Linked DNA regions of Drosophila melanogaster. The protein of the gene in region 1 purifies or fractionates together with the protein of each later gene. This does not show direct contact. Each region holds a gene or a part of one and is shown in the gene's direction. Other genes may lie near its edges.

Region 1 (7,450 bases):
GAGCCTTAATAGTCGAAGGTTAATAATTGTGCTTTAGACTGGAATTTTCAATCCTTCCGGCCATATTCCCCACCATGGAATTTCCAGTCACTCCAATTTCATTCGCTTAATTTCAATATCTTATCGCTGTTGATAGTTCTCGTTTGATAAGTCTGCCTAGAGCCCTAACTTTAGCGTACAATTTCATTGAGGGACATCCTATGAATTGAAAAACGGCGAACGTGTCGTGTTATATTGCCTTATCTTATCGGGGCTCATCGAACCTTAGCTAGAATATGTATGTGAAATGTTAACGCGATCCTCCGGTTGGAATAGATACTCTCGACGGGAGCAGAAGTAATTTTATAAAAAAATCCGATTCGAGGGGGGAAGCGAAGTGAAAAGCTTACAATTTGCTTATATTTAAGTGTTCAATGACCCCATCAAAAGTCCACAAAGAAGACACCAAAAAGCAACACCGAATCCAAACCAACTCAATTTATGTATCTGTATCTCTGCGTATGTATCTCCACGTGTAAAATAGCTATGCATGTGTAAATAGGGTGTATTTTTGGAAGTGAACCGAAGTGAATTTAATTATAATTTTAATATAAATACTTCTTTTAGTTTAGTTTAGTTTCGTTTGAGCGTTTCACGTTCAATCTGGTATCTGTTTGTATCTAGCTTTCATACTGACCGCCAAGCAACTTTACTGATCTATCCAAACACGGCGATCACTTCCATTAAAGACCAGTTTTAAGTCGCTTTATTTCAGAGCTATCCCAACAAAATAACGGCACTTTAACTTTTCCGAACCGCAGCTGAATCCCCTCCCCTCGTTTTTCCCATTCTAGCTGCCCCCCGTTTTGGGAAGCAACTCATAAGAGATAATTGTGTCTTTCCCCCTCAAAAAATATTGTGTCGTTCATACCTTCAGAAACTTTTTGGTCGGGCAACCCAAAAGAGCACGAGCGCACGAATCGGGGGATCGGGGGATCGGTGATCATTCTCTGCCCTCCAACAACACCGCACTCACTCAAAAATAGTTTTTGTGTCGAATGTTAATGAACTTTTGCGCTAGTTTAACGCACAGCCAGCCGAATAAACATTCAGACACAATAACAACGAAAGCCGATAAAGTTTTTTGAACCTGCCTTCACCGAAACTTTTGTATTTCAACATTTGCTTCTCGTGCTCATTCTGTTTTTTGGGAGGGTTTCTTATAAATGTTCGCTTGTTGAAGGTGGAAACTGGTCGTTGGCTTTCTATAGATGGACTGCTCAAAATATATCCCTGAGATTTTGTAGCCTCTAAACGTATAGTTGCCGCAATTGTTAGTTAATTGGTATGCTAAGTGTGGCAAGCAAGTTGGACTTTGGTACTTTAAAGAATAATAACTATAAGACTGCGATAAGAACTATCAGAACTTATTGCCTAATTCGTTGCATTTATGACTCAAATGCTAGAATCTTATCAATGAAAACCCAACTAATTACATCACTTAAATGAAATCACTTCAGAGTTCAAAGTTTATTCAATGCTTGTATATGTACATATTTTCAATTAGTCTGAAATAATAAACGTCGCAGATAACTTAGATACCAATGAAATTTCCCTGAGCTCGGGGAAATTTTGGTGCTCCATAAAAGAGAATGTCATCGGAAAAGTCCGAAACCACTCAAACTCAAAAAAAAAAGAAACACTCGAAAATTTCCCTTGTCATCGCACTCAAACATTTTCCAATTGAGGGAAATTTCAGATCCAATGGGACCATTCTTGTTGGTGGTGGTTGATTTTTCCGTGACAGGGTTTGAGGCAGATTTTTCGGGAACTCACCCACCAGTCTCCGTTACACCATCGAACCGAAAACCTCGGGAGCGGCGATGTGAACATAATCTGAATCCCATTCTACTCCGTTAAGTGTTGTTTGTACGGGTGTTGTGCGTGTGCGTGTGCTTGTGTGTGTGTGTGTGTGTGTGGTCCACACCTCGAAAATGACCGACTTTTCAATGAACGATATTTTGAGATCATTCAGAAAAATGCGTATGAACAAGGGCTCGGGCCAGGGCGGTCAGCACCACCAATACCGCAATCATCAGCACCAACAGCAGCCTCCGCAAAATATGCAACACTACCAACACACCTATCCCGTGCAACAGTCGAAGGACTTGAAGAAAATCATCAAAATCATCAAGAAGAACCTGATCAAGGAGAAAATCACGCGTCAAATGAAAATCCTTGTCTAAAAATGTCATGAGACGAGCTAAATGAATGAATAAATCTTAAGACTGCTGATATACAAATCGAGGGACTGATACTGAAAAACTGACACGAGTTCAGCGCTAAAGTCTGATTTTGTAAACTCAAATCAATGAATAAATTTACAAGTATACACATTGAATAAGAAAAGATCTCTTCAAACTTATAAACTATATTATAAATTAGACTTGCTTACAATTGAATGATTTGACTTGAACAATCAAAAAGTATTATTAGGAGGAAAACCTGTATGGAGCAGTAGCAAGATGACTGAAAGCAAGAATGATACAAAATCTTGGGCACCCAAACAAATTTGGATTAAGGATGTTCTCAAGAAATCGGGCACGGAACTGCTCGATATATCCAAGAGTCCCGCAAAGGCTGTTGCCGTCAAAAAATCGCCGGCGAAAGGTAATTGAGATGCTTTTCCTAAAAATTCAGACCGAAAAAGTTCCCTCACGACGCCATTTTGTTTTGGTATACGCAATTTTTGTTTTGGGGGAAGTTGTGGGGTTCGTTCATACTATCATAACAAAAAAAAAAAAAAATACAACAGCGCGACTGATACAGAAAGTGCGAGCGAGCAGGATGGCAACGGGAAATGCCGGTTGGAAACCGTACGATTCGTAATGCTATCTCCCAAATATCCCAAGTGGGACATTTTCGAGGCAGGGTTCTCAATGAAATTTTTCCCATTTCCTCTGGCTCTCACTCTCCTGCGCCTTCGCTTTTCCTCCCCCCATAAGCTCTCGCTAGGTTTTCCTTATTTTGGAAAACCCCGGCCGGCAATAACAGAAAGTGCGTAGCACAAATTCACGGGGTGGGTTTTCCCCTTTACGCCCTTTTTTCCTTTGGCTCTTACGAGACTTTTCCTAACCACCCGTATTGCACTTTCTATCTGCTTCCGTGTTTTTCCTGAGACGCAGATTGTGAATTGATGGGGGGCAAAGGAGTTAGACCTTATACTATGGTTAAGCTGGCTTTGTAGAACCACAAAAACCAAACAATAGGTTGCTAATATAACTAATAAGCAGTATCTAATTTATAATTTCTTGTATTATTACTTAAGTCTATTTAGAACCAACTATTTTGGTCAGGTATCAAACTAGTTAACTATGGTCAAAAATCTAATGCGGCTCCTTCTTTTTCGCCCTCTTCCAGATTCAGCCACAACCAAAATGGTTTACTATTCCGCCAACCAGCTGCTTATAAAAACGGAACAATCTAGTCAGGCGCAGTTCTGCCTCCAGGTTCCGCCTCCACTAACAGCGACGACCACGAGCGTGGGCCTAGGAGTTCCGCCATCCGGCGGCCAACAGGAGCACTTCGAGCTGCTGCAGACGCCGCAGCAGCGACAAATGCAACTGCAGCTACAGGACCAGCACCAGCAGGAGCAGCAGCAGTTTGTCAGCTACCAACTGGCCATCCAGCAGCATCAGAAGCAGCAACAACAGCAGCAACATGAAAGTATTACGAACGCAGCACCCACAGCAGCTCCATCAGCCCAGCGGATCAAGACAGAGCCCGTCGGCGGATTCCCAGCGTCGGCAGCCGTGGTGTCGCAGGTGCGCAAGCCCAGCGCCAGCAAACCGCAATTCAAGTGCGACCAGTGTGGCATGACCTTTGGCAGCAAGTCCGCCCACACCTCACACACCAAGTCGCACTCGAAGAACCAAGATCTGTCGCTTAATGGCGCCTCTGGAGCCGGCGTTGCTGCGCCCGTCTCAACCGCGGCCATCGAGCTCAATGATGCCGGTCTGCCGGTGGGCATTCCCAAGAGCCCCACCATCAAGCCGCTGGCCAACGTGGCCGCCGGAGCAGATCCCTATCAGTGCAATGTTTGCCAGAAAACATTCGCCGTACCCGCCAGGCTGGTAAGTGTCACGAAAACAGAGATTTGAAATATTTGGACCACCATATCAGTGATATTAATAAGTAATATATCTCCTTCGCTTTTAGATCCGCCACTACCGCACCCACACTGGTGAACGGCCATTCGAGTGCGAGTTCTGCCACAAGCTGTTCAGCGTGAAGGAGAACCTCCAGGTGCACCGGCGCATCCACACGAAGGAGCGTCCGTACAAGTGTGACGTCTGTGGACGGGCATTCGAACACTCCGGGAAGCTGCACCGCCACATGCGCATTCACACCGGCGAGCGGCCACACAAGTGCTCCGTGTGCGAGAAGACATTCATCCAGTCCGGCCAGCTGGTGATCCATATGCGCACGCACACCGGCGAGAAGCCGTACAAGTGCCCGGAGCCGGGATGCGGCAAAGGTTTCACCTGCTCCAAGCAGCTCAAGGTGCACTCGCGAACGCACACGGGCGAGAAGCCCTACCACTGTGACATCTGCTTCCGGGACTTTGGCTACAATCATGTGCTGAAACTGCATCGCGTCCAGCACTACGGCTCCAAGTGCTACAAGTGCACCATCTGCGACGAGACGTTCAAGAACAAGAAGGAGATGGAGGCCCACATCAAGGGCCATGCCAACGAAGTACCCGACGACGAAGCGGAGGCGGCGGCTGCGTCGGCAGCAGCATCAACGTCCGCAGGCTCCTCCGCCGGATCGCCGTCCTTGCAAGGAGTCAGCAGCAACTCCGAGAGCAGCAACCACTCGCCGCCCAGCTCGCCACCGGCCACAAAGAAACCTCGCCAGGCTCGCCAGCCGCGCGTTTCCAAAACCGTTGCAGCCACCCTTTCCATCCCTACCTCCTCGCCGCTCTCGCCCAGCTCACTCAGCTCCACATACTCGCCATCGGCCAGCAGCATGGCCTCGCCACCACCCACATCGGCCCACTACCTGCCCGTCCAGATGGAGGCGGATGCCTTGAGCCGGGACAGCGGCGTGTCCAGCGCCCAGCCCGCCCACAGCACCTATGCAGACGAGGAGCCCACAGATTTGAGCATGCAACAGGTCCAGGGTCAGCTGCCAGAAAGCACTGTGGACTACTACCAGGCACCGCCAAGTCTACTCGAACTGCAGCCACAACCCGCTGGTCTAACCATCAATCCTGCCCTGCTTGAAGCGGCCAGCATTGCGCGTCGCCATGACGACAACGATGACCAGGTGCAGGATGAGGATGTGCACGCAGCCGCCTGGCAAATGATGCAGTTGTGCCGCGGCCACGGCTCCTTACCCCCAACGGAGCAGCCGGCGCCAAGCCACCAGCCACAGGTGCCCACTCTGCACGTCAGCGATCTAGCGGCTAACTACGATGACACCCATGAAGCCACCGTGCTGATCGAGCACTTCAAGCGTGGTGATCTCGCTCGCCACGGGCTGCACAAGGGCTATGCACCAGTGCCCAAATATGAGTGAGTATTTTGGTCCCCCAAGCCGGATGCTTGTGTTTTTGTCTAAGAGTATAACTAAATCGAATTGCTTACTATTCCCATCAGATCCGCTCTACCCAATCCGGACGTTGTGCGACGCGTGGAGGCGGCCATCGGCCTGCGTTCCAGCACGGAGTCGCCGGAACGTAGCTCCTCGCCGGAGAGCGACTCCCTGATGATGGCCGACCGGAACGTGATGACGCTGCCGTTGCGCAAGCGCAAGCACTACATGAACAAGGGCGACGACGGTCAGGTGGATTCGGAGAAGGCTAGCGGAGATGGCACCTCCGCCGCCGGTGGTGCCGCTTCCGTTGGCGCCGGGGATGGACCCGGGTCCAAGGTGATGCGAATGAGCTCGGTCATTCAGTTCGCCAAGGCCTCCTAGGGGTCCAAGGCCGATCCCCAATCAGCATTAAGACTGTCCAAACAAATTCTAACTGAAATTAGCCTAAGTTTTTTCTCTGAGGTTCGGGGTTAGGCCTGGAAAAAGAAAGCATAGAAACGTATGGATATGGCAGTGAGATAGTTTTCCAGCAGCGAAAATGAAAATGCCAAAAGTATTAAAAAAGGGAAAAATTTGTTTTAAAATTAATATTACCTCCTATTACGTTTTATTGGCTTGATCCGAGTTTTGTTGAATGTTTGATTTGAAAATAGTTTCACCCATATTGCAAAATTTCATTTTAGTTTGGCATATACAATGTAGGTATAGTTTGTTTTCCTGTGTTGTCCACTTAGTCAAATTGCAGCAATTGGCATTATGCGTATTAAGCATTAGCATATAACTAAGTTAATTATATATAAAAGATCACTTAACGACGCCCAAACCCAAACCCAAACCCAAATCCAAACCGTACACAATAATAAGTTACGCGCATAACTACATATATACACATATTAATGAGAACGAAAAACCATGGCCATATTGGCGCTTAATATTTATAAAATACATATAATACTTATTTATTATGAACTCTGCTCGCCAAACTTCTTCCTTCCCCTCCACGATTAGTGTCAACGGCATCTTTGACATCATGTACCCATCATTTTATATGCATTTTATACACTAAATAAGGGAAAACTGAGGAAAAAGGATCGGTAACTTTAATTTTACACACGGAGAATATTGAACTGATAAACAAGAAGAAAGCAAGCATAACTACGTTTATATACATTTTCAAACCAGAAGATAACAAATATAATTAAGAGCGTCAGCATAGTTTTTGTAAACGCAGAGTTAATACATAGATTTAAATTCTAAAATCAAATATTGCATGAAAAAACGCAAATGAAATCTGAAAATCAATAAACAAGCGTGAAATAAACCAATTCGGTGTATGTGTATTTTAATGGGGCGTTTTAATTTAAAAAACTTACCCATTTCGCTTGAGAAATCGCAGATGAAGTAACTCGATCCAATTCGGTGATGAAAATGTAGATGCACCAATGTTGGAGGTTAATAACCCTCGTTGGAATATTTTACCATGTTTGCCACCTCATTGAATGCGAATAAAACATCGAAATTTCATTACTGAATGCATTTTTATATATCATTCACTTGTGACTATACGAATGGTGTGCTAAACCCACCACAGTTCGATTAGCTAACATTTTGATTATAAAAATGGTTTTACAATTCATTTGACTGCTTCAACTAGACGCAGTCAGTTTTCCTGTCTGCCTTTGTATAAATGAAATATTAATTAAATTTTAAAAATCATGTACAACGGGCAAAGCTGCCAAACGAGCAAGGCTTCGTTTGCGGTGGCTAGAGAGATAAACAAATTATGATACAACTAAGCAAACATTGCAATTAGTATAAGAGATAAGGCAGCCGGCACAAACTATGCACTTAAACTAATTAACATGATGGA
Region 2 (5,593 bases), on another chromosome or scaffold:
ATAAGGGGTTACATCACGTTTTTTTTCGAAAAATGGTGAAATTTTAATATTTTTAGCTGGGAATGCCACTGGATAGGAAATTAAGCTACGAATTCAACAAGGTATGGCATTCCACATTTGATCGACTATTACAAAAGTTGTGGTTGTGCTAATGTAATAATATTTATCATGATAGCTTTAAAGGACTCATGGTCGATAATGCCCGAACGCACCCTATAATTTTTCAGTTGGTATTCACGCTTTTTGATATTTGGCATTCGAGTGCGTTCTATTCGCTTCATGCCGCTCAGTCTAGCTTCCGTTCGATTGGGCCAATAAAATGCGCGTAAAAGTGAAAATAGATTTGGAATGTGGGCGAACTATAAGTTGCTGGCGGTCCGTAGCAGGAGCAGGGAGAACGGAGGTCGTACGCTTTAGAACTGATTTACGTATTACCGCAGAGAATGGGCGTGGCAGGACGAACCTACTCCACTTTGGAACATGTGACAGTGCGTGACATTCGCGTCGGAAAGTGAACAGCTGGGAGTGGAGCCACCCCATTTTTGGTCATGGTCCTGGTACTGGTCCTTCTCCCCACCAGGTCACGTGTTGCGACGCTCACCTCGTTTTGCGGCCTGGTGTCTCCGACCCCTTGGCCCCTGGAACACGCAACTCATTGGCCAGCGAAGCCCTAATTTATGTCCCGGCCACACGCACTGCCATATGTAGTTAGACCCGCAGAAAGTGGGTTGCACTGCCAGCCAGGATTGTAGTACTCATTTCTTATTCTACGTTGTATGCATTTAGGCAACACTCTCCAGGGCTTACAGTCCTATCCATGAGCGGCCTATTACGTCGTGCACTCATTTTTGGCCAGTGTAGCAGCGTGGGAGACAAACACGCTTGGTATCAATGGCGCTGCATCTCCACAAATAATTTTGCCAACCGTTCAGATTGTCGTAGGGCGACAGAAATCGGATGAAGATGGTGATAGCGATGGGATGGGGGTGGAGGTGGGGATGAGATGGGGTGGGTGGTGCTCCTATGGCTTCGTTTCAGTTTATGGCGTCCATAACCAACCGCAAGCAGACTTCGGTGAAGGGGGCTGGGGGTTTCAGCCACAGTGAGGTGTTTGGCGAACAAATTGACAGTGGGAAATGTTCTTTGATGGCTGAATGGCTGATGGCTGATGGCTGCATCAGTGCCTTTCACTATGCCCCTCGCGATCGTCAACCCCCGATGGACGCCCACTAGCGAATCCAATTGAACGCAACAATAGCAACCACAGCAGCGGCAGCAACAACCACACGGCAACAACAGCTCAAGCACAAATTGAATAAGAGTCAAAAGCAAAATCCGCTTTGCGTCGTCCCAGCCAAATGTCTCTATTTCCCAGTGGCGCACCAAGTGGCTCCACGTTCCCGACTCCGAAAACGTTTCGAAACCGCTTATCGCGGAATCAAAACTTTTGGCTTCTCACAAAAAGTGTTGAACTTTTGTGTCAAGCTGCCTAAAAATAGCCCGAATTTTGGCCAAAACAATGAACACAATGCTCAAGTTCTTTCCTTCGGGGAAAATGTTATTTTGGATTTCGTAAATGGGAACTTGGCGGCGAGTGTGTGTGCTTTCAGTGTGCGTGTGCCTTGGAAAAAATCATATTTGACTGTTGTCGCTGTTGTCCCCTTGCCCCCCCATTTCCCGTTCCTCACCTCCCGGCCCCTTTCGTCAATCGCCTTCCCCCGTTCCCTGGTGGATGCCTCTAATTTGTGTTTTTTTAGTTGTGTCTAATGCTCTCCGAGGGCGTCGGTGTGTCCACGTCATAAGCGTCGCTGCTTTGCTGGGTTGCTTCCACTGTCGGCAGTCAGTTGTTGCTGTTGTTGCTGATGTGCTGGGTGGTGTTGCTGCTGCTGCTGCCGCTGCTCATGTTGCTGCTGTCGTCGCTGTCGCCACTATATCGTTGCTATTCCCGCGTAGTCCGCCCAGCTGCGCGGAGACATCTTCACTCGCCGAGTTGCCGCGCGTCGCGTTGGTTCGCCGCAGTTCCGACCGACCTCCCACCGCAGTCGCCATGTCTACTGCTGCCCAGTGCCCGCCTCCTCGCCCAGGCGGTGGTGGAGGAGACACCACACTGGCCGCCCTGAGCGCTCACATGGCCCCTTGTCGCGACACCACGCCCGAGCAGCTGGCGCAGCTGATAGACGTCCACTTGGGGGATCTGCGCCAAGAGCAGCCCAACTGGACCATCAGCTCCTCCACGGTGGCAGGTCGTGGGGTGTTTGCCACCCGAGACATAGCCGCCGGCGAGCTGATCTTCCAGGAGCGAGCCCTAGTCACCGGTCCGACGGCGAGAAAGGGCCAACTGAGCAGCTGCATCTGCTGTCATGAGACCCTGCCGCAAACGGGATTCCTTTGCCGGCATCGCTGCACCCTGCCCGTATGCGAAACCTGTTCGGATTCCGAGGAGCACCAGGCGGAGTGCGAGCACTTCCGTCGCTGGCAGCCCAAAGACGTGGATGCGGAGCAGGAGCAGGTGAATCCTATGTCGCTGAGGATCCTCACCGCAGTGAGGGTCTTCCACTTGGGCAAGGAACAGCGGCATCTGGTGGACGCCATGCAAGCGAATGCGGAGCGCGCTTACCGGCGGGAGATCATCCAGGCGGCCCAATGCTTCCGGAACTTCCCCACCACGGATCGGGTGTTCATGGACCAGCTGTTCCGGATCGTGGGCGTGCTCAATACAAATGCCTTCGAGGCTCCTTGCCGCTCTGGCGGCCACGAGACGCTACTGCGGGGTCTGTTCCCGCTCACGGCGATCATGAACCACGAGTGCACCCCGAACGCTAGTCACTACTTCGAAAACGGTCGACTGGCGGTGGTTCGGGCTGCGCGCGATATTCCCAAGGGCGGTGAGATTACCACGACCTACACCAAGATCCTCTGGGGCAACCTCACCCGGAATATCTTCCTCAAGATGACCAAGCACTTTGCCTGCGACTGCGTGAGGTGTCACGACAATACTGTGAGTACGGTACCAATAGGAATCCTGGTCTCCTTGGGTAATCCCTCCTCCCACCATCTGCAAGCTTAGCTTCTGACTATGGTCATTTCTAGGCTGATGGAGTTTCTTCATGGTTAATAGCAATCTTCGCCAAACTTTCCACCAATCCTCTTTTTCTGAACCTACCTGATAGCTATCATTCTCCCTATCCGCCATCTGCATCGCGACCATCGCAATATATTTGTCCCAAAACAAAAAACAATAATTGCAATTTGAAAAGCTCTGAATTTCGGGCACATTTCTTGGCCAACGCCGATGTCACCGGCGTTGTGAAAGTGCGCGTGTGGTAGGGATGTGAGTGGCATGGGCATATATGTATGTACGTACGCGATCCACATATCCGGCCGGCCACATCTATTTATGTGGCCGCTCTCTGCCGCTCTGGGATGAGTTGAATAATGGCCTCTGGCGTTGGCAGTGGCCGCCGCTGGCCAGGCCCCCTGACACAAATGCGTTCCCTAATTAAATTAGTTATATGATTTGCATCAACCAGGGCCCAGGGGCGCGCCCAAGGGGGGGTGTCCATCAAGTGGGCAAAGGGGCAACATTTGGTAACAGGCACACGCACTTTTCCCTGCTAAAATGACTGCCTGATGGGCATAGTAACAAAATTACTTGTTGGGAGTTGGGTGAGCTTGAGACATCTTTGTCACAGCCCTGCAGTCGTTGGACAGTTCCATTCTTGCTATTAAATATACACCTTAAACGCACTCTTGTTCAAGACCTCCGAGGCATACATTATCAGTCCATTGATCCTATTTGCCTATATGCCTTTAATGTGGGCATCCAAAGTTCCCGGGCTACTAACACACACCCCCAAAATTTACATGAGCATGACACACAGAATGTTAATTTTGATTTCGATTCTGATTTCGATTTCGATTTCCATTTCGATTCGGAGTGGAACCAACTGTACGCCGTGAATGGACAGAGGCGGACGTGAACCCGCCGGATCTTTGACTGCAGATTCCACCCCCGATTTCCTGATTCCCCCCAAGTCCTTCGATTCACTGACCATTGTCTTCTTGCAGGAAAACGGCACCTACTTGTCGGCGCTTTTCTGCCGGGAACAGGGCTGCCGTGGCCTGGTGATTCCCGTCCAGACTCGGACACTGCAGCCGGACTGGCGGTGCATCACTTGCGAGAACGTGTTCCCGCACGCAAAGATGGCCAAGTACCAGGACTTCGCGCTGAACACCATCAATAACCGTATCAACTCGTGCAGTGTCCAGGACATGATCCACTTCATCAACGAGCTGTGTCCGCGCTTCTGTCCCTCCTCGAACTACGTGCTGATCGAGGCCAAGCTGAATGTGATCTGGAGGATGACGCGGTTCGACCACGAGGAGTACACTCCGGAGGAGATGGGCCACATGGATCGCTACCGCGAGGAAGTGTTGGCCATCCTCCACAAGCTGGGAGCCGGAGAGTGTACCCTAAAGAAGCTGATCACCGGGGAGATTCAGTGATTCATATTTAGCTTCAAAACTTCATTTTTTTTTTTTTAGGTGTGAATGAGTGAGTGCTTTTGTGAATGCGTACTTTTCGGGGTGGCGTGAATCGCATCCGAGCCCTTTGTTGCTATTTTATTCGTAGTCACTTAAGAATCCAATAAACACCGAATCCTTTCGAACTATATCTGCAATCCGTTCTGTATGTGGACCCCTTTCGAGGAACGCCTCTGTGCCCTGACAATAAATATGAATAGCCAACTAGCCACGAAGATCACCGGTCTGCGATTGACCAACAAGTTGAAAATTGCCACGATGTAGATTCTCTGGGCTCTCATTCGTTTTTTTGGGATCGTCTTGGCAAGCACTGTAGTATGTGAAAGGAATGCTGTGTTGACGAGGAGCAAGTCGACTGGGCAGTATGTATATGGCATGTGATTTATATGGTACATGGATTATCTATTGCATTTCTGGGGCTATTGGCCAAAACTGATTGCAGTAATCTTAACGCGTATGAATTTCTAGAGCCTGTATCTTTCGTATTTGATTTCGTAAAAAATAGATTGTTTCAAGCACAACGCTACTTACCCGCACATTTCATATTCCCATTGTCAGGGGCATGTGTGGTTTTTCAGCCAATCGATTTCAAAATGGACTTTTGTGGTTTTCTGTTGTTGTACAAAAGCTTTCTTTAATGGCGCATACACAGACGGACACACACGCACAGGCATACAGTCATAATAGAATAACAATAATTTGGTATGGGTACATGTACGTGTAGGCATACATTTGCATGCACTTGCAATGGGGGCCTTTAATGGGGTCTGGGGTCAGGGGTCAGGGGTCTGGGGTCTGGGGTCAGAGGTCATGGCTCGGGGGACAGAAGCCGGCGGTTCGGTGACAGTCGCCCGTACACAATTATTCGGATATGCCATAGCTGCGGCATACACGCATACCTCGGTACATGGCTGGCCTAGGTCTAGGACTTAATCTAACCAAGTGTCGTGTGCATCAGTACGTATCTAGATTTATAGTTACAGTAGAAAAAAAAACAAAAAAATATGGAGTAGGAATAAACAGGGCACTGTGGGTGGTGGATGGGTGG

What was found.
Region 2: the proteins of Kr-h1 (region 1) and SmydA-8 purify together in Drosophila melanogaster (affinity purification with western blotting; one study listed by BioGRID). This does not show direct contact.

The regions. Positions count from the first base shown.
Region 1 is NT_033779.5:6,089,596-6,097,045, forward strand, and holds Kr-h1 (kruppel homolog 1), read left to right. Parts: upstream 1-1,816; 5' UTR 1,817-1,973; coding exon of another isoform or gene 1,974-2,225; 5' UTR 2,226-2,504; coding exon 2,505-2,649; intron 2,650-3,399; coding exon 3,400-4,112; intron 4,113-4,197; coding exon 4,198-5,558; intron 5,559-5,642; coding exon 5,643-5,961; 3' UTR 5,962-6,903; downstream 6,904-7,450. Other genes in the region: CG45075 (uncharacterized protein), read left to right, coding at 1,974-2,225. UniProt on the Drosophila melanogaster protein: Plays a general role in the hierarchies of gene expression leading to metamorphosis.
Region 2 is NC_004354.4:2,204,939-2,210,531, reverse strand, and holds SmydA-8 (SET and MYND domain containing, arthropod-specific, member 8), read left to right. Parts: upstream 1-1,853; 5' UTR 1,854-2,047; coding exon 2,048-2,998; intron 2,999-4,068; coding exon 4,069-4,506; 3' UTR 4,507-5,017; downstream 5,018-5,593.